Ovis aries: one gene and its partners. The protein of the gene in region 6 purifies or fractionates together with the protein of the main gene of each other region. This does not show direct contact. Links are inferred from orthologs where the notes say so. Each region holds a gene or a part of one and is shown on either strand. Other genes may lie near its edges. The genes, in order: EXOSC8, EXOSC4, EXOSC7, EXOSC1, EXOSC9, DIS3L and EXOSC2.

What was found.
Region 1: the proteins of DIS3L (region 6) and EXOSC8 purify together in Homo sapiens (affinity purification with mass spectrometry; 4 studies listed by BioGRID and IntAct, counting the BioPlex papers as one, with this or other methods). This does not show direct contact. The link is inferred for Ovis aries from reciprocal best matches to the Homo sapiens genes DIS3L and EXOSC8.
Region 2: the proteins of DIS3L (region 6) and EXOSC4 purify together in Homo sapiens (affinity purification with mass spectrometry; 5 studies listed by BioGRID and IntAct, with this or other methods). This does not show direct contact. The link is inferred for Ovis aries from reciprocal best matches to the Homo sapiens genes DIS3L and EXOSC4.
Region 3: the proteins of DIS3L (region 6) and EXOSC7 purify together in Homo sapiens (affinity purification with mass spectrometry; 3 studies listed by BioGRID and IntAct, counting the BioPlex papers as one, with this or other methods). This does not show direct contact. The link is inferred for Ovis aries from reciprocal best matches to the Homo sapiens genes DIS3L and EXOSC7.
Region 4: the proteins of DIS3L (region 6) and EXOSC1 purify together in Homo sapiens (affinity purification with mass spectrometry; 4 studies listed by BioGRID and IntAct, counting the BioPlex papers as one, with this or other methods). This does not show direct contact. The link is inferred for Ovis aries from reciprocal best matches to the Homo sapiens genes DIS3L and EXOSC1.
Region 5: the proteins of DIS3L (region 6) and EXOSC9 purify together in Homo sapiens (affinity purification with mass spectrometry; 3 studies listed by BioGRID and IntAct, with this or other methods). This does not show direct contact. The link is inferred for Ovis aries from reciprocal best matches to the Homo sapiens genes DIS3L and EXOSC9.
Region 7: the proteins of DIS3L (region 6) and EXOSC2 purify together in Homo sapiens (affinity purification with mass spectrometry; 5 studies listed by BioGRID and IntAct, with this or other methods). This does not show direct contact. The link is inferred for Ovis aries from reciprocal best matches to the Homo sapiens genes DIS3L and EXOSC2.

What each region holds. Positions count from the first base shown.
Region 1 is NC_056063.1:24,979,936-24,984,180, reverse strand, and holds the start of EXOSC8 (exosome complex component RRP43), read left to right. Parts: upstream 1-1,445; 5' UTR 1,446-1,470; coding exon 1,471-1,487; intron 1,488-2,781; coding exon 2,782-2,818; intron 2,819-3,050; coding exon 3,051-3,114; intron 3,115-4,099; coding exon 4,100-4,173; intron 4,174-4,245. Other genes in the region: ALG5 (dolichyl-phosphate beta-glucosyltransferase), read right to left, coding at 13-78. UniProt on the Homo sapiens protein: Non-catalytic component of the RNA exosome complex which has 3'->5' exoribonuclease activity and participates in a multitude of cellular RNA processing and degradation events.
Region 2 is NC_056062.1:13,710,299-13,714,127, reverse strand, and holds EXOSC4 (exosome complex component RRP41), read left to right. Parts: upstream 1-1,438; 5' UTR 1,439-1,497; coding exon 1,498-1,668; exon of another isoform or gene 1,669-2,616; coding exon 2,617-2,823; exon of another isoform or gene 2,824-2,846; intron 2,847-2,920; coding exon 2,921-3,280; 3' UTR 3,281-3,329; downstream 3,330-3,829. UniProt on the Homo sapiens protein: Non-catalytic component of the RNA exosome complex which has 3'->5' exoribonuclease activity and participates in a multitude of cellular RNA processing and degradation events.
Region 3 is NC_056072.1:54,150,486-54,152,785, reverse strand, and holds the end of EXOSC7 (exosome complex component RRP42), read left to right. Parts: exon of another isoform or gene 1-1,555; coding exon 1,556-1,660; 3' UTR 1,661-1,800; downstream 1,801-2,300. UniProt on the Homo sapiens protein: Non-catalytic component of the RNA exosome complex which has 3'->5' exoribonuclease activity and participates in a multitude of cellular RNA processing and degradation events.
Region 4 is NC_056075.1:18,489,760-18,493,778, forward strand, and holds the start of EXOSC1 (exosome complex component CSL4), read right to left. Parts: upstream 2,801-4,019; 5' UTR 2,770-2,800; coding exon 2,739-2,769; intron 2,632-2,738; coding exon 2,516-2,631; intron 49-2,515; coding exon 1-48. UniProt on the Homo sapiens protein: Non-catalytic component of the RNA exosome complex which has 3'->5' exoribonuclease activity and participates in a multitude of cellular RNA processing and degradation events.
Region 5 is NC_056059.1:3,758,415-3,761,897, reverse strand, and holds the end of EXOSC9 (exosome complex component RRP45), read left to right. Parts: intron 1-581; coding exon 582-766; intron 767-2,432; coding exon 2,433-2,511; intron 2,512-2,835; coding exon 2,836-2,920; 3' UTR 2,921-2,983; downstream 2,984-3,483. UniProt on the Homo sapiens protein: Non-catalytic component of the RNA exosome complex which has 3'->5' exoribonuclease activity and participates in a multitude of cellular RNA processing and degradation events.
Region 6 is NC_056060.1:13,195,134-13,198,633, forward strand, and holds part of DIS3L (DIS3-like exonuclease 1), read left to right. Parts: coding exon 1-29; exon of another isoform or gene 30-989; intron 990-1,124; coding exon 1,125-1,286; intron 1,287-3,160; coding exon 3,161-3,408; intron 3,409-3,500. UniProt on the Homo sapiens protein: Catalytic component of the RNA exosome complex which has 3'->5' exoribonuclease activity and participates in a multitude of cellular RNA processing and degradation events.
Region 7 is NC_056056.1:5,926,555-5,930,054, reverse strand, and holds part of EXOSC2 (exosome complex component RRP4), read left to right. Parts: intron 1-503; coding exon 504-680; intron 681-1,079; coding exon 1,080-1,208; intron 1,209-1,714; coding exon 1,715-1,795; 3' UTR 1,796-3,500. UniProt on the Homo sapiens protein: Non-catalytic component of the RNA exosome complex which has 3'->5' exoribonuclease activity and participates in a multitude of cellular RNA processing and degradation events.

The DNA of each region.
Region 1 (4,245 bases), on a different chromosome or scaffold from region 6:
CCCTCTCCTCACCAGAATCAGGGCCGCGGCGGCCAGCGCCACGCCGAGCACCGCCAGCTGCAGCAAGACCGGAGCCATCCTCCATGCCGGGCCGCCAGCCGCCCTATCCCGCGTTTACACACACGCGGAAATGCGGCCGCGCAGCCCCGCCTCCAGCCCGCAGAGAGGCCATGCCAGCTGGGCGCCCGCCGCCCACAGCGCCACCTCGCGGCCAGACCCGGTCACGCCCGGGGACCCGCGCTGCCCACAGCGCCACCGCGTGACGAGACTATGTTGTGTGCGAGCGGCTCTGTTCAAACGCAGTAGGGTTGTCAAAATCAGCAAGGAGAAATAAACGGATGTCCACTTAAATTGAATTTCAGATAGCAACGGATCGGTTTTCAACAGCACTATTAAAGTATAACACACACTCAAAGTTCGCCCATTTAAGAGCTTTTTGTTATATTAACTTTGAAAAACTGATCAAATTTCCCATTTTAACCAGTTTATGTGTCTACTACAGGGACATTGACTGCACTCACAGCTTCCTGCAACCATCACTACCGCCTCTTGCTAAACCTTTCCCAGTTCTCCCCCAGCTTCTGGTAACAACTAACAACATGAACAATTTTGCGTGTACTCTTTGTTCACCTGACATTCAAATTGAATTGGATGTCCTGCGTTTTATCAGCAACCCTTTCTAGGAAGGAGGTGGAGTGGAGGTTTTGAGCCACGACACAGTCTACAACGAAAGTTGTTTCTTTGGAGCCCACTCTTGGCAGCTGCGTAATGTAACCTGATGTGGATAACCAGCGCACAGAATTTTTAAATTTTCGGTGCTCTAGCAGGAGGCTTTTACCTGGAAGAAGGCAAGCCCAGGGCTCAGCCTAAGGAGGAGGGGGAAAGAACGCGGAAACACTGGAATAATGCTCCACGCTCAACACTTGATTTTTTGCTATACCGTCGGTTTTCTCTGAAACTTTTGAATGGTGGGCTTCCTTGGTGGTTCAGCGATAAAGAATCCGCCTTCAATGCAGAAGACGCAGGAGACATGGGTTCCACTCCTGGTTTGGGAAGATCTTCGCAGTTTAGTATTCTTGCCTGGAGAATTCCAAGGACAGAAGAGGCTGGTGGGTTATAGTCCATCGGGTCGCGAAAAGTCTGATTCTACAGAAGAGACTAAGCACGCACGCTTGAACTATCAAACTGTTTCTAAACAAACACTCATAACTTTCGTAAAAGCCGATTCGCCAAAAACGTCAAGGTCAAGAAAACCTAAAGGGGCGACTGGCTAGGGGTGGTCGAAGCGAAGCCATGCGGGAAACCACCCTCACCTCTTCTACCTCTACTCTGGTCCATACAACCCTGCCTTCTACATATCAGGTAGCAGAATCAGTGTTGAAAGTGCTGAAGCGAAACAGCAGCGCGGGCCGGAGGGGTGGTGATACGCAGGCGCGGGCGCGGGCGCAGGCGCAGATCGGCGGGCGGAAGATGGCGGCTGGGTTCAAGTGAGTGCGGTAGGCTGGCGGGCGCGAGTTCGTAGCCTGGCGGTCGGCGGCTTCCCTACCCTTGGGATTTTCTCATCGGGAGGCCACCCCACCTGGTTCCCATTTGTTTCCACTGCAGAAGGAGACGTTGGGCGGGAGAACTGAAGGTGGTCGTAGTGAAGGGAAAGGGCGCATCTTCTCCCCAGTGATAGGAAGTACTGTGTTGAGCAGGTACCCGCTGCGAGCGCTAGGCTTTGTGTGTAGTGGACTTTGCTGCACAGGAGAGACACTTGTAATCTTGTAGAAAGCGTTGCTTCAAAACCTCAGGGCGCCCTGCTTTCTCTGCCCAGTAGTTTATGTGTAAAAGCATTCTGCCTCGTTAGAAAGGTTTTCCTTAAGCGTTTTCGGTGCTGCTCTCTGGGGAAGGCTATAGCTTTTCGTTCTGAGTCGAGTTTTAAATGGATGCAATAAATAGGATTCCAAAGGAAACCAGTTATATTGAAACGACCATGTATTTGTATAAACTCCGGGTTTTTGACACAGTGAAATATCTGTTTTGAAATTAACTTTCTTAGATAAGGCCTAGTGGGAAGTCTAAAGTAACTCCTGAAATTCGAAGTAACGATACGTCTTACACTTACCATAAAGTCAGGTCGCTCAGTCGTGTCCGACTCTTTGCGGGTCCCATGGACTGTAGCCTGTCAGGCTCCTCCATCCATGGGATTTTCCAGGCAAGAGCGCTGGAGTGGATTGCCATTTCCTTCTCCAGGGGATCTTCCCGACCCAGGAATCGAACCTGGGTCTCCCGCATTGCGGGCATACGCTTTACCGACCTTAGGCAACTATAAAGTAAAAACGAAAACATCTTAATCTGTGGTTGTTAAAGTCGCAGGTACGGCTAATATTATAGTGGTTTATTGCCTATGCTTGTAATCGAAGAATATGCTAAATTTAAGTCGGGGTAGTGAAAATAAATGCGTAATTTTTTTTTTTTTCCTACTAACGAAGTATTCCTGCTTCAAAGTATGAGTGATGCACACCTGGATTCATTCTCTTTTTAAAGAGGCCTAGGGTTTTGGTCTCGATCCTTATACTTGTTTAAAGCAGAATTAAAATCAGTCTTCGAGTGTGATTGTTATTGCAAAAGTAGCTACTTTTTATAATTAGCAACATGTGGCAACATAAACTAGAATTCATAACAGAAACTTAGTTACAAATTTTGGAGATTTCTGCTCCATCACCCCACTATTAAGATTGTTGTGTTTCTGGATTTATATTGATTTATAATTTATCTCATTTTTCTCATGTCTTTCAGAACTGTGGAACCTCTGGAGTATTACAGGAGATTTCTGGTAAGTAAAGGTGATTATGTGATGCCCTTTGATAATGGTATCATATGCTTTTTTCATAAATACAAGTATTAATCATGTTATTCACCTAATGTTCTAAGTATACTTCAGTTTTTAAAAGACAATTTTAAAGTAATACAGATTAATTTATTTGAATTAATGAGGTTCAGTGTGTTTTCCTTGGTCTGTGTAAGATATACATGTAGCTGTAATCTACTTTCATATATTTACTTAGAAAGAGAATTGCCGTCCCGATGGCAGAGAACTTGGTGAATTCAGAACCACAACTGTCAACGTAGGTGAGAGTACTTTGAGTTCTAAAAGAATGTTGAAGTTGCTTCAGTTCTGAAAATAGAATTTTTTTTCTTAATAGCAACTTTTTATTTGTAGAGTTTTTTTTAACTCACTCTCCTCTCATTAGTGGGCTTCCCAAATGTCTTGGTGCATCAAGAATCTACCTGCAATGCAGGAGACAGGTTTGATCCTTGGGTGGGGAAGATCTCCAGGGGAAGGAAATAGCAACCCACTGCAGTATTCTTGCCTGGAAAATCCCATAGACAGAGGAACCTGGCAGGCTACAGTTCATGGGGTCACAAAAGAGTCACATACGACTGAGCAGCTAAGCACATCCTTTCAGTTTTTATGTTCATATTAAATTTTAAAGTAACTCTGAAGTGTTTTCCCCCTTCAAAACTTGTAAGGTTTGGTTTCCTTCTATATCTTACATTATTAAATCTTCTGTTGCCAAACATGGAATTTTCCAATTTTACCCATATGACATTCCCAGGTTTTAGCCTCTGAGCCATTTAAACGGTGTTTTAGACAAATTCTACCAGGTCTAAGGGATTACAGTGATTTTTGTCAAGAAATTTTAATAACAGCCCTGTGATTAAATGACAAATGATTCACTCAAAATCAAGAAAATGAATAATTCCTAAAACAATTCGGTTGACCCTTGAACAGTGAGGGGGTTAGGAGCACTGACCTTCACAGAGTTGAAAATCCAAGTATAATCTTACCGTTATGGATTGGCACTCCGTATCCAAGGTTCAGCATCCTTAGATTCAACCAACTGTGGATCACGTAGTACTGTGGAAGTATGTATTGAAAATAATCTTTGTATAAGTGGACCTGTATAGTTCAAGCCCATGTTGTTTAAGGGTCAACTATAATTTTACCAAGACTCAAGCAAGGAGTAAATTTTCACGGACATCTTAGATATTTAGAGATAAAAATCATACATAAAAGAAGAAAACATTTTCATTTTAAAAAAATACTTTTCAGGTTCGATTGGTACCGCAGATGGTTCTTCTTTAGTGAAGCTTGGAAATACTACAGTAATTTGTGGAATTAAAGCGGTAGGTTTAATATACTTACTACCAAGATTTGAGTTACTAAGTTAGCTTCATATACTTAGTAGATTATAATAT
Region 2 (3,829 bases), on a different chromosome or scaffold from region 6:
TCCTTCCCTATTCAAACCTGAAGCATGGGATCTGGTTTCTAAGCACTGCAGAGGGGCTGAATAATGCCCTAAAGTTGTGTCTGACTCTTACAACCCCATGGGCTATAGCCCGCCAGTCTCCTCTGTCCATAAGATTCTCCAAGCAAGAAGACTGGAGTGGGTTGCCATTTCCTTCTCCAGGGGATCTTCCCAACCCAGGTCTCCTCCACTGCAGGTAGATTCTTTACCAGCCGAGCCACCAGAGAAGCCCGAATAATGCAAATGAGGAGGGTAATGAGCTCCCTGATGGTGACCTTGACCACCAAGCAAATGGTATCTGGAAACAGGAGGCAGCTGTGGAGGAAAACATCTCATCCCCCCTCCTGTGAGCCCCTCTGCTGTTCCAGGGCATTTGACATCAGGCCACGAAATGCAAGAGGAATGGCAGTAACCCTCTGAAGAGGGAAGGATTATGTAAAAAACTTTTAACATTTATTCCAGGTGGGAAAGGACGGAGAATCTAACTCCCACACAGCCTTCACTCAACCCCGGGACACACATCCACTGCCCACAATGGGGTGGTTGCTGGGTACATTCTACTTATTACTTGATACTCGTATCAACCAAAAAACTATGAGTTCCACAGGATTACTTGGACAGATTTTATATTTTTGAGTTAAATGCAAAAGTGTATGAAACAATCGCATTTTAAAAAATAAGAGTTCCAAAGGCCACTATATGGCTGTACATGTACAGCTGCATATACACGTGTCTGTGTGTGACCTGGATGTAATTATGAGTGTGAAGAAAAACGGAGCCATTTTTTAAGCTATAGTAGATAGGGGGATGAGTGCAGAGAAACAAGGCAACATGGAAAATTGAAACTAAAAAATTTGACCATGTGTACGTACAACATAAATGTGTCTGCTTTTTAAACGGACAAATGTAAAAACTAAACGGTTTAAAGAAAAAAAAAAAACAACTGCGAACAGAGAGTGTATCTCAGCTTGGGAGAAGGCCTGCATTTATGACCGCGGAAGAACTTAAGACCAGCAGTGGCGGCTATCGCCCGCAAACCTCGAGGGAGATACCAAGCGTCAAGCAGAAGTAAAGGAGCGCCAGCGGCGCGGGAAGCGCGGGGCTCAGTGGAGAGGCCGAGGGAGAGGCGGCGGCGCGGGGCGGGCAGGCCCGGATGGTAGAGGGAGCCGTCCCCATGACCAACCCGGGAAGAAACGACACGGCGACTCCACGTCCGGCATGCCTCCAGCCCTGCAGGCGCGAGTGCGTACCCCAAAAGGCCGCAAGGGTCCCTCCCCGGGCCCACAGCCGCAGTTCCGCAAGGACCGGAAATGAGATGTGGTGCCCTCGGGAACTCTGGGAGAATCGCAGGGGTCCGGAACCGGAAGTCGGAGTCGGTGCCCCGGAAACCGTAGTCCTGGGGAATCGGAAGTGGGGAGTCAATTCTACCGGGAAGTGTAGTTCTGCCGGGCGCTCAAGCCTGGCTAGCGCCCGGGCGGCATGGCTGGGCTGGAGCTCCTATCGGACCAGGGCTACCGAGTGGACGGGCGGCGCGCTGGGGAGCTGCGCAAGATCCAGGCGCGGATGGGTGTATTCGCGCAGGCCGACGGTTCGGCCTACATCGAACAGGGCAATACCAAGGCGCTGGCGGTGGTCTACGGGCCTCACGAGGCGAGTGGGCGCGCGCGAGCCGGGCTTCCTCCGGGGGTGGCCACTACGGGCTGTGAGGGGCTACCTGGCTGAGTAGAGGCCTCGGGGGTGAGGCTGGCGCGCGCCGCCTTGTGGGGCCGCGGCCAAAGTCCTAACAGTGTCTTGCACGACGGTCCCTGCCTTTCTCCAGCGCTCGCTACACCGCTTTGTTACTCCTAAAACCGCCAGGGCCGCTCTCACTGGCTCCCTCACCTCTCAGCTCCACTCCGACGTCACCTCTGGGTGACACCTCACCCCATCCCACCCCAGACCACCTTACCTACCCTTTACAAGTCAAGTTCCCTCCTTTACATCCACACACTTATCTGGTTTCCCGCACCCGCCTCCTCAGACATCAGTTTAACTTATTTCTCACTGTTTGTCTCCTCACTGGAACATAAACTCCGTGAAGACAGAGAGTGTTAATAAAACCGCTTGGGTTTATCACCACTCCAGCGCTGGAGACTTAAGGCCAGAGAGGTAGAAGTAAGCATGGCACTCTTGCAGAGCAGAAAGACTGGTGATGGGGAAGAGGGTGGTAATTCCAAATGAGACTGAGGGATTTCTAGGGAAGCAGGAACCCAGGACCTTTGTAAACAGGGAAAAGATTTAGGATTTTTATCTCACGCGTGATGGGAACTCTTTATAAGGTAAGCAGTATATGTATTGTGCAGAGGAGGTAGAATCAGACTTGATATATGTAAACAGATTCTCATACAAAGGAAGCATGGGGTCGAGAGAGGACGAGTCAAGAGGGGAAACAGGGAGGCCTGTCAGGAGAGAGATCCAGGGACGATGGTGGCTTAGAGCCTGGCCCAATGGCCCTCCCTCGGGCTGTGTTGTTTTGCAGGTAAAGTGGTTGCTTGTTGGGATGTTGGAGGTAGAGGGAGGAAGGGCCTGGCTCATGTGTTCTCCCCCACCCTACCCCAGATCAGAGGCTCCCGGGCACGAGCCCTGCCTGACCGGGCCCTGGTGAACTGTCAGTACAGTTCTGCAACCTTCAGCACAGGGGAGCGCAAGCGGCGGCCACACGGGGACCGCAAGTCCTGTGAGATGGGTCTGCACCTGCGTCAGACCTTCGAGGCAGCCATCCTTACACAGCTGCACCCACGCTCCCAGATTGACATCTATGTGCAGGTGAGCAGGCAGCAGCCCTCAGCCTGTGGAGGGGAGAGAGAAAGGAGGAGTTGGGGTTCAGCAGCTTGAAACTCATGCCACTGGGGGGTTCCTGCAGGTGCTGCAGGCAGACGGCGGGACCTACGCAGCTTGTGTGAATGCAGCCACGCTGGCAGTGTTGGACGCGGGGATACCCATGCGGGACTTTGTGTGTGCCTGCTCAGCTGGCTTTGTGGATGGAACAGCTTTGGCAGACCTCAGCCATGTGGAGGAAGCAGCTGGGGGCCCCCAGCTGGCCCTGGCCTTGCTACCAGCCTCAGGCCAGATTGCACTGCTTGAGATGGATGCCAGACTGCATGAGGACCACCTGGAGCAAGTGCTAGAGGCCGCTGCCCGGGCTTCCCGGGATGTACATACCGTACTGGACCGTGTGGTCCGGCAGCATGTACAAGAGGCCTCTGTCTTGCTGGGGGACTGAGCACAGGGCCACCCAAGCCCAGAATAAAACCTAAGCACCTTTCACTGTACTTTTATCTCTTCCCCACCGCACTTCCTTGCCCTTGGATCCTGGCCTGGTGCTGGCTCTAGCAATGACTAAGGGTCCGCCCCCAAGACATGCACTACACACCCCTTGCAGCCTCAGTGCTGCTCACCCTGCTCATCAGGGTGCTTCAGGTGAGCACCCTGAAGAAGGCGGATGTCCCTGGATGAAGTGAGCAGCCTGGGCCAAGAAGGGATTGCTGGGCAGTGAGACACAGCCTGGTATAACGAGCCATGCCCCACGACCATGGAGTCTGTCATTCTCATCCCAACACATCCAGAGTCCTGAGCACAAGTCCTGAGGGGTGGCTTTGGGTATTCACTATGGTCATGTGGGGGCCGTGTCCCACATCCTCTGGATTGTGGCTGGGACTGAAGGGTCTCTTGCCCTCTAGAAGCCTTTTGGGCCTGTCCTGCTACTTCCCTTGGGCTCCAAAAGTACAACAGACACATAATGTCACCTGGCGTCTTCTCAGTCCTGACCCTA
Region 3 (2,300 bases), on a different chromosome or scaffold from region 6:
ATTCCGTGTGGGCCTGGAAGCGTGTAAATGGAGATGAAGAGGGATGGGGGAAAGCCCCCCACGGCCTCTGGGTGGGTTGCTCCCCTCGGTGCCCCCAGGCCTGGCAGCAGCACTCGGGCGCTTTCCAGCTGCTCCTGAACTGACTGGTTGGCACTCCCATCCCCTCCACTCCTGATAAAGCTTAGACACTCAGCTGGTTGTGTGTCTGCCGCCCCGGCCACTATAACCTCTCCTGCAAATCCAGGTCCAGATCTCGCAAGCCCTGGTGGCCTGTTTGTCTCATTTCCTATTCTCTCCCTGTCTTCATTCCTATGAATAATCAGTTTCCCTAGTCAGTGTCCCCTACTTGGACATTTTTTCCTTTTCTTAATGTTGCGATAGAAATCTTTCCAAAGTCACTTTGGACCTTAATCCTGATTTCGCATTTCATAGACTCAATCCCTTCCTGGTCTTTAGACTAAGCTCTTCTCTTCATGAGTTTTCGTGATATGGGGGTCTCATCCCTTGTTATAGTCCGGGGTCGGGAAAAGCCACACAGCCCTGGGGAGAGTCCACCGATGACTAGGAGGACTGGGGTGGGGCCAGGGCCTGGGTGTCTTTCTCCCTGACATTGTCGGGGATGGAACCAGTAGCACAAGTGAACTAAAGCTGGTATGAGACCATGGAAGGCTTGGAGAGGAAACTTGTAGTCGGTTCATAATGTTCTTGAAATGATTCATGTGACCCAAAAACAGTTGCATGAAGAAAGATTTTTATATAGTTGGGATTTTTTTGTCAAAGCCCCCTTCTGTCAGCTGTGTAGGGGGCTAATTAGGAAATCTATGGCGTTGTCTGACCTCGTGACATGCCTTGATCCCAGTAACGTATGCTTTTAGCATCTCTGCATGGCAGTAACATCAAAGACTCTATTCAGGTATTGACTTTGGTCCTATCTGAGCAGGTCTCCTTTGGTGGCAGGCAGATTAGACACTGCTTGTTAAAAAGGGTTCCCAGCACCATCTGTTCCTTCATCAGACAGATTCTGGATTCCCCGTGGTCTCCCCATGCCTTCTCTCTGCAACGCAGTGGCTGTAGCCAGGTTCTGACGGGGCTGACTGTTCTGCTGCTTCCAGTGGCAGCAGCTAAGGACCGAGGCCGCTTTTGTTCCTTTCTGCTTGCTGCTTGGGGGCTGCCTTCTTCTTTTTCCCCTTTCTCAGAATAGAGGCTTTCCCAGAAGGTTAACTACTGTGGTGTCGGGGTTTGGAGGGTTGGGTTTTTTTTTGGCAGCACCTGGTCTTAGTTGCAGCATGCAGGATCTTTAGTGGTGGCATGTGGGATCTATAGTTCCCTGTCCAGGGATCGAACTCGAGCCCCCTGCATTGGGATTGCAGAGTCTCAGCCTCTGGACCACCAGGAACTCCCTGGGGTTTTTATGTTGAATGAAAGTCCTGTAAGGCCGATGGCATGTGTGCGGCTTTGGAATGGCTGGTTGGCAGGGACGCTTCTCTCAGTCAGAGTACGTGTGCCTCACGGGCGGGCGTGTGCCCTCTTCTGTCTGCCCTTCTCCGTCCTGCAGACTGGCAAGCGCGTGGGCAAGGTGCTGCATGCCTCCCTGCAGAGCATTCTACACAAGGAGGAGAGCCTGGGGCCCAAGAGACAGAAAGTCGGATTCCTGGGCTGATGTGCACAGCAGCCTCCAACTGCCGAATGTTTGTCTTCTCCTTTTCCCTGGAAGCTGAAGTTTGTATACATTGTTTTCTTAACTGCTGTGAATTTAAGGCAACATTTGTACATGTGAAATTAAAGTCTATTTTCTGGTCTCGTGTGTGGTATGGCTTGACTTCTTCAGCTGTACGCCAGGATGCCATTTGTGGCTCCACCACAACTGACCCTTCTCTAGGAAATGACAACTAAGTCCAGAGACCTGCTCCAGTGGAGGACTCTGGTCCCAGGCCTCTCCAGGGAGACTTGTCTCCTGCTGCAGGAAATCAGAACAACAAACACACACACTAAAATAAGACCTACCAGAAAAATAGTTCAAAGGAACTGCTTATGATATCAGAGTCAGTTCAGTCGCTGAGTCATATCTGACTCTTTGCAACCCCACGAACTGCAGCACACCAGGCCTCCCTGTCCATCACCAACTCCCAGAGTTCACCCAAACCCACACCCATTGAGTCAGTGATGCCATCCAACCATCTCATCCTCTGTCGTCCCCTTCTCCTCCTGCCCTCAATCTTTCCCAGCATCAGGGTCTTTTCAAATGAGTCAGCTCTTTGCATCAGGTGGCCAAAGTATTGGAGTTTCAGCTTCAACATCAG
Region 4 (4,019 bases), on a different chromosome or scaffold from region 6:
TGGCAGTAATTGGGACTCCGTTTCTCTCATCACAGATATGACAGGAAGCTGCAGAGAGAAAAATAAAACATGAATATTCTGGCTAAGCCTTGGATAAAGGTATTTGAGACTTGACAGTAAAATGGGAAACCTTGGGCCACAGTAGACGTCACATGGGCAGGTGGACAACAGATTCATTTGTAGCCCAGAGCAGAAAGCCTTAGAAATTTTAGGATACAGGAGGGCCAAGGGGCCACAGAAAGAAAGGTGTAAGAAGATATAATCTTACCACTTCAGATGAGTTCTGAGTTTTTTTGTGATTTTCTTAAGAGTTTTTCCACATACAACTACATTGCCTGTAATCATGGATAATTTAACTCTTTCCTCCAAAGTTACATCTTTCTTTTGGTTTGTCATTTTATTGGACAGGCTAGAATTTTCAAATAAATGTTATATAACAGTGGCCATACTTGTTTACTTCTATTTAACACTTGTAGAGTTTCCTCTTTGAGCATGGTACTGGCTATTGGTGCAGGAAAGATATTTTTGAGCCCGATCTTTTCTTAACCTTTCCCTTGTTCAATATGCTTCAGCTCTCCTGGTCTTTTTTCAGTTTCACCAATTCACGAAATTTTTTCCCATCTCAGGATCTCTTTTCAACCTGCTCTTTCTGCTCACTCACTCAACTCTTATTTATCCTTTAGATTCAGACTAAATATCACTTCTGACTAGGCTGGATTTACCTATTACATGTTCTCATGGTACTCTGTAATATTGTTTCAGAGCAGCCATCATATGTGTAAGTATACCTTCATTTGAGCATTTATTTGCTTAGTTTGTATCTGTACCCCTTGATAGCAGAGACCACATATATTTGGCTCATTATCACATCCCACAGCTATAAAATGAACAAACTTTCAAATCCTAGGGAAATTCCCCAAATTGATCAAATACAAAAGTCTCTCATTTTATAGGTAAGAACCTATAAAGGGAGTGAAAGTTTCTTACCTAAGGCAGAATTAAGGTTTAGTCAATACTGAATCCTCTTTCTACTATGCTCCCAGTTTCTAGGGCGTTCCTGGTGGCTCAGCTGATAAAGAATAATCTGCCTGCAATGTCAGAGACCTGGGTTCGATCCCTGGGTTGGAAAGATCCCCTGGAGAAGGGAATGGCTACCCACTCCAGTATTCTGGCCTGGAGAATTCCACGGACTGTATAGAGATTTGGGCTTCCCTCATAGCTCAGTCAGTAAAGAATCTGCCTGTAATGCAGGAGACCTGGGTTCAATTCCTGCGTTGGGAAGATCCCCTGGAGCAGGAAATGGCAATCCACTCCAGTATTATTGTCTGGAAAATCCTATAGACAGAGGAGCCTGGTGGGCTACAGTCCATGAGGTCTCAAGTGTCAGACACGACTTAGCGACTAAACCCATGCCCCCCACCACCTCCAGTCTTTAAGCTGCTCCTCCAAGAACTGCTTATCTGATCCCAAGCTAATAATGGATCAGCCTCTGGAACCAGGGAGAATAATATTATTCATACATTCAATAAACATCTACTGAGCATTTACCTCGCGCTACGTGCATAGTAGTGGAAGGGTCTAATGGGGAACTTATAACTGAGTGTTAAATTGCATGCTGAACTAAGTGCTTAGAAAGGGAGTAACAGCTCTTGGGACCTCCCTGGTGGTCCCATGGTTAAGACTCTGACCTTTCACTGCAGGGGGGATGGGTTCCTTCCAAGATCCTGCATGCTGCCTGGCAAAACAAACAGGCAAACTGACCCCAACAGTTCTTTGTGAGTGTTAAAACAAACAAAAAACAAAACTCCCTTTTTTGACTAGTGGTGTCTATAGGGCTTCTCTGAGAAAGTGATAACTAGTGAGGTTATCTAAAGGGTGGTGGTGGTTTAGTCGCTCAGTCGTGTCCGACTCTTGCGACCCCATGAACTGTAACCCGCCAGGTTCCTCTGTCCATGGGATTTTCCAGGCAAGAATACTGAAATGTGTTGCCATTCCCTTCTCCTGGGTCTTCCCGACCCAGGGATCGAGCCCGCGTCTCCTGCAATGGTGGTGGATTCTCTTCCGCTGAGTAGGTAGGATTTAATCGGGCTAAGGAAGAGAGGAGCGTGTTCCAGACAGACGGCGTGTGTACAAAGACTCTGTGGTCCACTGGCGATATTGAAAAAGACAGTAGGACTTCTGCAAAGAGTGAGGCGCGGGTAGCGGAGCGAAATGAAGCCAGAGAAGCAGGCGACATTCGGCCAGGATTCAGCTCACAGCACGGCTGAGCTCGCCTCCGTTCTTTCCCCAGCTTGCTTCCCGGAGGGTCAGCAACACAGCCAAGCCAGACAACACAATTAATTTGTGATGGCTAAGTGTCCAGCAGCGGGGATCCCAGCTGTCAGAAACTCAGAGACTAACTCCTTCTCCTAAACCAGGCACTAAAGACGCGCTCGTAGGACCCTGCCTAAAGACAGTGAAATCAAAGGCAGCGTAAGACAAAGAGACAGAAGAGAAGGGAAGCTGCCCCATTTACCGCGCCGTTCTCGCTGGTCTTTGTCAAGCAGCCAGCAAGCGACGAAAAGATGTAGCCGTGCCGGGTGTAGGTGCCGCTGCCCGGGCTGCCCTCCTCCAAGTTACACAGACGTTCGCCTGCGGAAAAAACGCTGCATCAGCCACGGGTCCGCTGAAGCTGTTGGTCGTCTGGCCTTCTTGCCCCTGTCTCTGCCCACGATTTGCTCTAGATACCGCTGACTTACCGGGGATGCAGTACCTCACGGGTGGCGCCATGACTGCCACTGTTCCAAATCCCGAGGAAAATGAGGCCGACCTCTCATTGGCCAATATCCAGGTGCAGTTACGCAGTAAGAAACGCGCTAATTGGTGTGCTCTATCTGTAATCTCCGGAAGCGCTTCCAGAAGACGTAAACTCCATTTCCCAGGTTGCATCGGGACGAATTCGGGGGCGGGGCTTCGGAACTCTCGCGCTTGCGCCTGTGGACAAGGATGGGCGGGCGGTGGGTCCGGGTCTGCAGGCTGGACCTGTGGGCGGTGGGCCATGGTTGGTTGGATTGAGCAGGGCCGGTGGACGCCGAGCTGGAGGGGGTGGCAGTGAGCTGCGGCGGAGGCTGCGGGGTTCGACTTGGCTGATTGAGGAATCGGCCAGCGGCAGGTAAGAGCGAAGCTGCGGCCTTTTCTGCCCAGTCCTGTCGCTTTTAATAGGGTCGGGCCCTGTTCCCGGGCCTTGTGAGCCCGAGTTCCTGCTCTGCACGGCCGTGCCCTCGAACCGGACGGAACACACCCTCCGGGCAGCCCTGAGGCGTGGAGCTGGAAGGTCACCCCAGCCAACTCGCCCATTTCACAGATTTGGAAATTCATCCCCAGGGATAGGATTAGAATTGTACAGTATCTCTAAAATCAAGATAGAGACCGAACGGGTACTCAAGTTATTTTTTACTTTCAGTCTATCATTCTTTGTTGAGAAATAAAACGTTTCCTCAGTTTCTGTAACTGCAGTCTCCAATCTTGCGGAAGCGTGCTAGTCTGGAAGGAAAGTCTGCATGAATTAGTGTTGCTTTTACTGATGATTGACACTTGCTGCTTCAGGCAGTAAACACCCTGAAAACAGCATCTTTGTTCAAATGAGTTATGTCGACTTTGTTTCCTCTGCTCTTCGGTGTCTTTGGAATCTATGTGTGTCCTCCCACCCCTAATAGCCCCCATGTCCAGTTTCCCCTTGGGAAAGAGTTGGTGACTGAGAGCCTTGGGGAGAGGAGAGTGCTGTGACCTACACTCCCCTCTGAACTGGTGGCACGTGTCACTATGTTGGTAGGACTGAGGGATCAGAGTGTTCAAGGCTTGTGTTGGGGGTGATGCTGCTGCTGCTGCTAAGTTGGTTCAGTCGTGTCTGACTCTGTGGGACCCCATAGACGGCAGCCTAGCAGGCTCCCGCGTCCCTGGGATTCTCCAGGCAAGAACACTGGAGTGGGTTGCCGCTTCCTTCTCCCATGCAGGAAAGTGAAAAGTGAAAGTAAAGTTGC
Region 5 (3,483 bases), on a different chromosome or scaffold from region 6:
TACTGGGTGATTTTTTTTTTTTTTTCCAGTAAAAACAAGATTTATAATACTTGTGGCATGATTAGGGCTGTGTGAAGTATGTGCATACTGAAATTTGTTTTCTGAAAACAGAAAAAAACATTTACAAGACAAGAGAGTGATGAAGTAAATTGATGGTGTAACATCTGCCTTCTCTTCAGCTTCTCTTCTCAGAAATCAGAAAAGTTTATACTTTAACAACTTTCAGTGTTTTATTTTCCTTTGGAAAAATTCTTGAATCTCAGTGACATAGTCAAGCCCTATATATACATCATTACATTGTTCTTAAAGTTGATTCATTCACCAAATTTATTACTACAACTGAAATGTTCCAAGCCAGTGTGTGTGTCTTGATATTTGTCACCCATTCTGTCCATAAAATCTTAACCTGAATTACATTTTTTCTTCATTGTTCAGCCATCCATAGTATAGCCGTTGATAATTTTTTTCCTAATAATTTGAGGTGAACTTCAGACTTAACAGAAGAGAACTTACATTCTAATTGTTTCAACACTGCATCAAATAGCAGTATATTTGTTACTCAGTTTTCTTAACTTGCCAAGTGTTTCTAAACCTGTGCTGTGGACTCCTGGGACCGCCCAAATTGGAGAGGGAATAGAAAACTCCTGGGGTCATCTTGAAGACTCTGAGAAGGAAGATGAGGATGAAGGTGGCAATGATGAAGCTGTCATCCTTGATGGTATAAAAATGGACGCAGGAGTAGACGTCTCTCATATTGGAAGCCAAGGTATGTGATACTTTATGGCTGTATGTAATGTGTGTATATATATACATATATATCTTAGAAATCTTGTTTTTATATTAGCAGTTACTTATTTAGAGGGACTAAATGTTAAATTTCAACTGTTGAGGCTAACTGCAATGTTAACTCCTAGTTCTAAGAATATACTTTGTAGAACAGTGGTATTCTTTGATATGTGAGGAGAGTGGCATAAAAGGTTTTTTTTTCTTTTGATTATATATCCAGGGCAGTTGTAAAAGGATAAGTATCTTAAACCTCATTCGTGCACGCTGTTTTTTCTTTGTATAGTTTTTAGTGCATGCTCAGTCACCAAGTTGCCTGACTCTTAACGACCCCACTGAGTGTAGCCTGCCAGGCTCTGTCTGTGGGATTTCCCAGGCAAGAATACTGGAGCAGGTTGCCATTTCCTCTTCCAGGCAGTCTTCCCATCCCAGGGATCAAACCCCCGTCTCCTGCATTGGCAGGCGGGTTCTTTACCACTGAATCAGCTGGGAAGCCTCAAATATAAAAAGGAAGTGTCATACATGTATTAGAATAGTGCTGTCCATACAACTTTCTGCAGTGTTAGAAATGTTCTGTCTACACTGGCCAGCATAGTAGCCTCTAGGCCAGTGCTGTTGAGCAGTGAAATGTGGCTTGTGTAACCCAATACTGAATTTTAATTGGTATAGTTAAGTTGCCACATGGGGCTACCATAACAGAGCTGTATGAGAACCCACAACATTCTACATGTGCATGAACAGTGGTAGTCCCAGATGTTCCTGGCATCCTGAAAGCAACTGAACTATAGAAATGGTTCTCACCTGTGGATATTTTAAGGAAAGTAAAATTCTATCATGAATTATTTATGTAGACATAAAGTAGGTTGGTAGAGACCTAAAGGACAGTTGCTAAATCTGGCTGAGAAAATAGTTGCTCATACCTGCCTACCTTTGAGGAAGATTATTACCTGTAAATATTACTAAGAACCTACTGGGGTTTTTTTTTTTAAGGCAAAAAAAAAAAAAAATTCCCCATTGTTTGGGACCCTTACTCAGCTTGATACTTTTTTTTTTTTAAACTATATATGCCTTTATATATATAGGTGGCCCACCTGCCAATGCAGGAGACCTAAGAGACACGGATTCGATCCCTGGGTGGGGAAGATCCCCTGGAGGAGGAAGTGGCAACCCACTCCAGTTTTTTTGCTTGGAGAATCCCAGGGGCAGAGGAGCCTACAAGTCCGTTAGGGTCGCAAAGAGTCGGACACAAGTGACACAACTTAGCACACACATACGAACAAAGGAAGAAATGGAAAACTCTTATGTGGATCGGAAATGGATTTGTAGGAAATGGATTCTTCATATACTGTTTTTTGGAATTTAAATTGACACAGTTTCTGGAGGAGTTTGGCAAAAATCTTTTAAAAAGCACAAGGAATTCAGTTGGCATACTGACTTGTTTCCAGATTAGTTCTATTAAAGATGCACTGTATCTACAAAATATATAGATTTACCCCCCTAACTTTTCTGTGAAAGCAGCACACATGGTTTTTCAGAGCTCCAATGAATAAACTCAGGGAAGAGAAGAACCAAACAGATCTGTAAGCCTCCAGCCAAAATGACTGGGCCTCTTCTATCTGAAATCTAATTCCTCTAACATTTTCTTAAAGATGCCCCTATAGTGCTCTCAGACAGTGAAGAAGAAGAAATGATCATTTTAGAACCAGATAAGAATCCAAAGAAAATAAGGTAACAAATTTCTCATTTATTTCAAATGTATACTCAAGACTCTTTAGAGGCTTGCTCTCTGGTTTATTGTCATCTTACCCTCTCAACAGACACCTTTTGCATTAGCAATCCAGATCTTTCTATGGTTTCTCTATACATCTGCATGGGTGCCTTTCAAGGTTACAGTATTCTTCTGCCATAGTTGGTAAATATCCAGCCTACTGGAAAAAGTAGTTTGGATCACCAAAGTAGGGGGCAGTGTAGGAAGTAAGGTTGGTAAAAACCATTTGTGGAATCAGCTCATAGTACTAATACTGTTGAAACGTTAATTTACTTTGTTCACAGAACACAGACCATCAGTGCAACACAAGTAAAAGCACCAAGTAAAAAGCCAGTGAAGAAAAGAAAAAAGAAGAGAGCGGCCAATTAAAGTTCACAAAGTTGTATATTTGTGTATATAACTATTAAAAAGGTATTTATTCAGTGCTAACAATCTTGAGTATTTTATTCACAAATCCATCATAAAATCTACTTCTTTATACAGTTTTTTACATTATGCTTTAAAATAAATGCCTGGAGAACTCTACAGGTTTTAAATAGCTGTCATTTTGGTAGGTCAAGTGTACTGAAAGTTGACGAATGAAGAAGTGTGTACACAGGCCTGACGGTCTCAGATTATTCCCAAGTCACAGCTGGCCCAGTTTCTTAAAGAAGTGAATGTCAGCACCTGTGTGTCGGAAGGAGAAGCCTTCCCAGTCCTGATGAATTTTTCTGAGTGAAATCCTGAAGTCAAATTTTTACTTCAAATTAAATTTGACTTACAAACCAAATTTTCCAAATCAATTTATTAATTATTATCCTGACAGCTGACATCATTAATACTTTAACAGAAACCACTTAAAATTAGCCAAATATCTAAGATAGTTACATTTACAAAAGATATACAAATTAAAACCATTTAAAAAGTAATAGATACCATAATTTGTACTGGAC
Region 6 (3,500 bases):
TCAGCACTCAACAAGCAGAAGCCCTCCAGGTACCTCCTCTCTTCGCCTCTGGTCTCTGCCAGCTTTCGAGCAGTAGCAGGAAACGCTGTTAACTTCTTTGCATAAGAAGGGGTAAATTATTGATGGCATGTGGCATTCCGAGATCCTGTTTTCTAAAAATTCTAAATATATAGAACCATCTATTAAGTAGTCCTTGGTTAATAAATGAAGGCCAGAGAGAAACTGTCCTAGAAAGAGCTGTGCAGGACAGCTGGAGAGAACATTCATTATCCAGCTGTCCAACACAGAAACTTCCAATAGATACACTTTGCCAACGCTAACAAGCTTTCTTCCAGCAAGTGATATAGAAATACGATTGCTCTGCCCTGTGGGGATGATATAGTGGTACTTCGCAGAATCGATTATCCATAAAGGAACGGAGCCCCGGAGAGAAGACGTAAACAAGAAAGTTAGAAATTAACCTTTACTGTGGCAAAGGGTGTAGGCATCACCCAAGTCTGATTTGCCCGATGTTCTGTAGTTTGTAAATGAGACGCTGAAGCAGGATGTCCCCAGCCTGTAACCTGTTCATCGTGTACCTTTCCATCCTGAAGCCTCACTCAGGCTCTCAGAGGCCAGGTGCAATAGCTGCTTTCTGTATCTGTGGCTTGCTGGAATGTGGGGCAGTGAGGTTCGGTTCACGCTGATAACCTTCTCCCCACCAAAAGATGTCTTAAGAAATTAGAAAGTAACTCCAAAACACACACAAATTGAAATTTTTTTGCTTTGAAATTTCATCTGGACTGGGCATAGTTGGGCTTTTCCCTTGGGCTGCCTATGTTAACTAGGATGTATCATAGGTGGCTCTGTTCCTCAGCTTTCCATCTCCAGCCCTCTTACTTGGTGCAGAGAGGTAATGCCTCCCTTCAAAGCACTGGGTTAAGCGTTTACCTACCATCTGGCAATTTAGTAAGACAGGAAGAACCCAATACAAGGAAAAAAAAAGAAAAGAAGATGGTTATTTGTATTACTAAATTGGCCACTCTCTGTGGAGCTCAATGCTCTTTATCCCTTGTTTGTTTGGTGTTGCTAATTGACCCACTTAACTCCTGACACTGGGTTTGTGTTTCCCCCTCTCTGTGCAGGACTTCAGGGTGGTCGTGCGCATCGACTCCTGGGAGTCGACATCCATGTACCCAAATGGACATTTCGTGCGTGTTCTAGGGAGAATCGGAGATCTGGAAGGGGAAATTGCAACCATCCTGGTGGAAAACAACATCTCAGTTGTCCCCTTCTCAGAAGCTCAGGTCAGCCTGGCCCCGGTCCTTTGGTCTGATAAAAGGCATTTTCTACTTTTTCGTTTGTTTGCCCTTGTTGTCCTGTTGGTAAGAAAGAAAAATTTTTGTACTGTGTAACAAACTGCTGTCTAAACCAGAGCTAATGGGAAAAGTTCATTCCTCTTTAACTCTGTGTTTGAATGAGATTGAAGTCAATGTCAAGTGCAGTTAGTTTCTTACAGCCTCATAGCTCTCAGATGTTTACATGTTTCCAACTGTGCTTACAAATGGTATGTCAGTAGCTTATAGTCAGTATGCATCCGTCCCCCGGAACTACATGGGCACCTAGTTGTCACAGACCCACTGGGCTCTGCTCCTTGTCTTGTTCATTCAACCAGAGGCCTGCAGAAAGCTGTGGGAAGCAGCTTCTTGGGTATACATCTCTGACCCATGGGTCAGAACAGTCATGCTCATTAAGAAATCATTTCTGTGTACGGAAAACAAAAATTATATGAACATAAAGCATCAGCTCTTTCCATCACATTATGATCTGTTAAAAATCCTCGTAAATCTTGTTTATTATTCTTGCATAGCTATATTCATAGTGCACACAGGCTATTTTTTGCTTCTTGCACTTAAAATTATTTCTATGTGCTGACATAGCCTACTTATTTTTAATAATGATGGCAAATTACTCTATATTGATGTACTCTAGTTTGCTTAAGCTTTCCTCAGTTGTGGAACATTTGGGATTTTTAATGTTTCAGTATTATAAAAGGTGCTACTTCAAATGTTTCATAAACATCACTTTTTTTTTTAATGTTTTGATCATTTTCTTTGGAATGTAAAATACTTAAAGTGAGATTACCAAGTCAAAGGGCATAAAAAAATTTAAATAGCTTTTGCTGTGAACTGGCAGGTTGTCCTCCAGAAAAACTGGGCCAGTTTGCATTGTCATTAAGAGCATATGAGTGTTCTTATTTTCATTATAATTTTTGACAGAATAGTAACTATAATAGTAAAAATACTTTAGAATATTTTACATTATTAAAATTTTATGTTTAACATTAGTATCTCGAAATCATTTGTTGACTTGTTTTGACAGCTTAGTGAAAATGTTGGAACAAAATAAAACATGAATTAGACTTCATAGGACTAGAATTCTTCCCTTTTAGCCTACTTAACTGCAAATTGATGGCTTGAATAGGTAATAATGCAGAAAAAAATGCCCAAGATTGATCCTGCTTTAAAAGGGGAATATGCTTTTAATATCTGGGACATGTTGATTTTTTTCAGGGCTTGACTTGAATTAAAAGCTCAAATATATTTAAACAAATGGATCATTTGAAAATGCGGTAGATATTGTACTTTTTATAAGCCACCCATTCATTCTTGCTCCAACCCTCACAACTTAAGAGACCGTAAATGCTCTGGAACATTTCCTGTAGAGCCTTCAAGGGCATGCAGATTGTGTCTTTCCTATTGAGTCCCGACTTTCCAGAACCTCACACGGCTCCTGACACCTATTAGGCACCTAATAAATAATTATTGCTCAAAAGAAACAAACATAGGTAGAAGGTAGTGAGTAATGAGGGGCTTCCCAGGTGGTACGAGTGGTAAAGAATCTGCCTGGCAATGCAGGAGACGTAAGAGACTCGGGTTCAATCCTTGGGTCGGGAAGATCCCCTGGAGGAGGAAATGGCAACCTACCCCAGTATTTTTGCCTGGAGAATCCCATGGGCAGAGGAGCCTGGTGGGCTACAGTCCATAGGGTCGCAAAGAGTCGGACACGCACACAATGAGTAATGAATGGGGTTTCTATGCGGTCACATGGAGAATGTTAGAGAGTTTTTATGGAAACTTCTGGTGCAGAATTGCTGAATCTTGGGCCTCTCCTTGTACAGATGTGTGAGATGCCAGTCAACACACCGGAAAATCCCTGGAAGGTAAATTCCCAAGAGGAACGAGAACGTAAAGACCTGAGGAAAACCCACCTGGTGTTCAGCATCGACCCCAGCGGCTGTGAAGATGTGGATGACACCCTGTCGGTCCGAGCCTTGGATAATGGCAACCTGGAGCTTGGAGTCCACATTGCAGATGTGACGTACTTTGTAGCACCACACTCTTACGTTGACATTGAAGCTAGGACAAGGTACCGCTTTTAGAAATCAGCACTAGGATTGTGTGTGTGTGTGACTATAACGTGCTCTGCAACTGTGCTAAGTCACTTCAGTCATGTCTGAC
Region 7 (3,500 bases), on a different chromosome or scaffold from region 6:
CTGTGCTGACCTTTGTGGGCCCGAGGCCTGTAGCAGACGCGCCATCTGCGGGATGTGGGCCTTGAGCTCACCTGCCAGGACCGGGGATGTATTTGTGCCCAGCCCTAGGCCAGTCCCCTTCTCCAGTGGCATGTCTTGTGGGCAGGCCAGGCGGTTGGGGTCAAGGGGAACAGGGCAGTGCTCCTTGGCCCTCAAGAGGCTCAAGCCCGCATCTTCATTGGCTCCACCTTCTCTCAGCCGTCACACCAGCCCTGGATCAGAGCATGATGACGCTTGCAAAGGAGAATAAATGGTGGAGGAGAGTGTGAGAGTCGCCTTCTGTTGGGTGTGTAAGTGACACCTGCCTCCGGAAGGTGTCTCTCTCTACTGTGCATGCGCGTTCATGCCAGTTATCACCAGCAAGGACCCCGATTCCAGCCTCCCTAGGACACAGTCTGTACTCTGCTTCATAGTCGCCTCACTGGTGATCCTAGTGACTTAATGTACAATATATTTTTTTTTAGCTAGGTCAGGGCGTTTTGGTTCAGGTCTCCCCCTCCCTGGTGAAACGGCAGAAGACCCACTTCCATGACCTGCCGTGCGGTGCCTCAGTGATCCTGGGCAACAACGGCTTCATCTGGGTCTACCCAACCCCCGAGCACAAAGAAGACGACGCAGGGGGTTTCATCGCAAACCTGGAGGTGAGCACACGCCGCCCGCCGTTGCCCTGTTGGATGCAGAGGCACTGAGTGGGTACTGTGCTTCTGCGGCAGGTGGGGGCGCTCCCCGTCTCTCCCTGCTGCGTGGCTGTAGTTTGAGCTGGTTTGCATTTCCACTGAAGTCTGCTCAAAACATCGTGCTGCCCTCTCTTGTTCTGGAGAGATGAAATCAGTGACTTTGATCTCTGCTGGCCCAGATGGCAGTTGCAGGGTAACAGCCAAAAAGCCACTGGGGAGCCATCCTTTTTCATCTTCCCTGGAGTCAGCAGTTTGCTTGGTTTGGAGTCCCAGAGTGATCCCGCCTCAGTTGTACGTGGTTCCTGTGATCTGCTGTAACCATTCACTCATTCTGGTCTTGATTCTGTTTGCCTCCCCTGCTAGCCGGTCTCCCTCGCCGATCGAGAGGTGATCTCCCGGCTCCGGAACTGCATCGTCTCACTGGCAACTCAGAGGATGATGCTCTATGATACCAGCATCCTGTACTGCTATGAAGCATCCCTTCCGCATCAGGTATGCCACCTAGGGCTCCCCTTCTCGCTGTTGTGTGAGCAGGCGTGCCGTGTCATCCGCTCCGTGGCCCCCCACGTCCCTTCACCATGCCCACCAATATGAACTCACCTGGTGGACTCCCTTGTTGGCTGGTAGAGCTTTCCCCGAGATGCTAATAATATTCTCAATGTCTGATATCCATGTGAGGGTTTGTGGGCAGTTGGAGGTGCCAGGTGGGGCTGGTTTATGACAGCGACCCCCTGGACTTCATCTTGGCCATCCCAGTTTTAGCTGCCTTTCTAGGGAATGCTGGAGTAATAGCATTGTTGTTCTTGTTAGCTATATCCCAGAGAACCTTGCTGATTTGTTAAGCTAGTTCTAGCAGATCCTTCCTTGCAATATGTAGCCTCTGATAAACGAAAGGAAAATGGAAGGCTCGTGTTAGCCAGGCTTGGTTTCTACATTTGGGTTGGCTTGATGGTGTGCTTACTGACTGAACAAATTACCTTTTGTCTTTTCTTTTTCAGATCAAAGACATCTTAAAGCCAGAAATAATGGAGGAAATTGTGATGGAAACACGCCAGAGGCTTTTGGAACAGGAGGGGTAAGAAGAAGCATCTCAAGGCCAGGACTGTGTGGACCCAAGCAGAGCAGTCCTTGAAAGTGGAGAATCTGATTGGCAGTCCCTGCATGCAGCTCAGTGAAGAACCGGGAAATTCATCACTGGACCTACATCAGGCTGCCTCTACCTTGAAGACCTGCTTTCTCCTGTTTTAAGGCAAAGCGAGGGGGAATGTGATTACTGCTGCCAACCCCTTGAGTTGCCCACAGACTTCGGGTGCTATGGGTAGTTTCAGACCCTTAAAAGCATTCCGAGTTCCAGCCGAATAGACTCCTATCCTGGAATCATACGGGGAATCTTTTGTCTTGTAGTCACTGTCAACTCACCAGGCACAGTGCCCCATGAAATTGCCCCTATATAAAACATAGCCTCCCTGATCCCCCCAGTTGTCAGTTTTGGCCTCCATTCTCACCTCCTCTGCATCTCGAGAATGACACTGAAGACTGTAGCTTGGTAAAATGAGCCCAAGAGTCAGTGGAAGGACACAGCGACCGGGGAGCCTTTTGCTTGGTTGGTTCTCATTTCCTGTTACATGTTCCTCCTAGTGACAGATGTAAGTACATCCCCGCCAGGCTGCCTTAATCTGTTCTGCCTTTGAGGATGATCTGTAAGAAGCTGAATAATTGAGAGAGAGAATGAATGTTTTGGGTGCTCTGATAAACGTGAAAACAAAGTAAAAAAGTGGAGATGGAAAAAGAAAAGGTTTTCCTCCTATAACTGAAGCAGCAATGCATTTGATTTTGAATAATTCAGGGTTGAAAGGTAAAAACTAGATACTGAAGTTCTGTGTAACTGAGAATGGCTAGAATTCCTGTGTATTTTTCAAATGACTTTCTAAACATGGTGCCCTGATTTGGGTTTGGGGTAAACAGTTCTTTTAAAGTCAGTATATGAGAGTGCTATTTGGTGAGCTGTTTGGTTTTTTTTTTTTTAATTTATGTATGTGGCATCACTGTTTCTGTTCTTGTATTCTGTGTAATACTTGGGAGTTAAATACAGGTGAAGGATGACTTGGGAGACAGAAATTCTTCTGACAGAGGCCCTTAAATTTAAACCCAGAACACCTAGTACAATTTAACCCTAGGACAGTTTCAGTAGTGATTTGGAGCATATGACAGTTTTGAAACATAGCTCAGCTCTTTTTTGTTAAATTGTACGTCTTTATAATATTCAGTCTGTCTCCTGTTTTGAGGAGTTTGCAGTCAACTGAGTGTTGCCCAGGCTATGTTGCAAATGTAGGTTTGCTCCCTGTTTTTGAGATCATGTTCTAGGTTGTATGTCCCTGAAGGGAAGGGAATGGGGAAGGAGGGGAGCCTGCATGCCTGGTTTGGGTTGGTTTTGATCAGGGCTATAAGTGGGTTTGTTGAATGTTTGCCCTTCTCACTTGGTCTGCCAAGCTGCCAGCCTGTAATGTTCACTCAGTATATCCTGAATAGTGATTACCTACTAAGTGGTACTTTTCTTGTGGCCCACTAGAGGGTGCCCTTGTTAAGCATAATTTCAGTAAGTTTTTTTGTTTTTTTTTTTAAATAAAGCTGAAGTTTTTACACCGGTTCTGAATTCCTCTAGCACTGTGTAGGTTGCTTTGCTTTATAAGCGTGAGCACAAAATTAGGCTGAACTACGTCATTCTTAGTGGAATATATGAGCTTAAAGGGATTTATTCAAATTTGGCAACATTTATTTACTTCT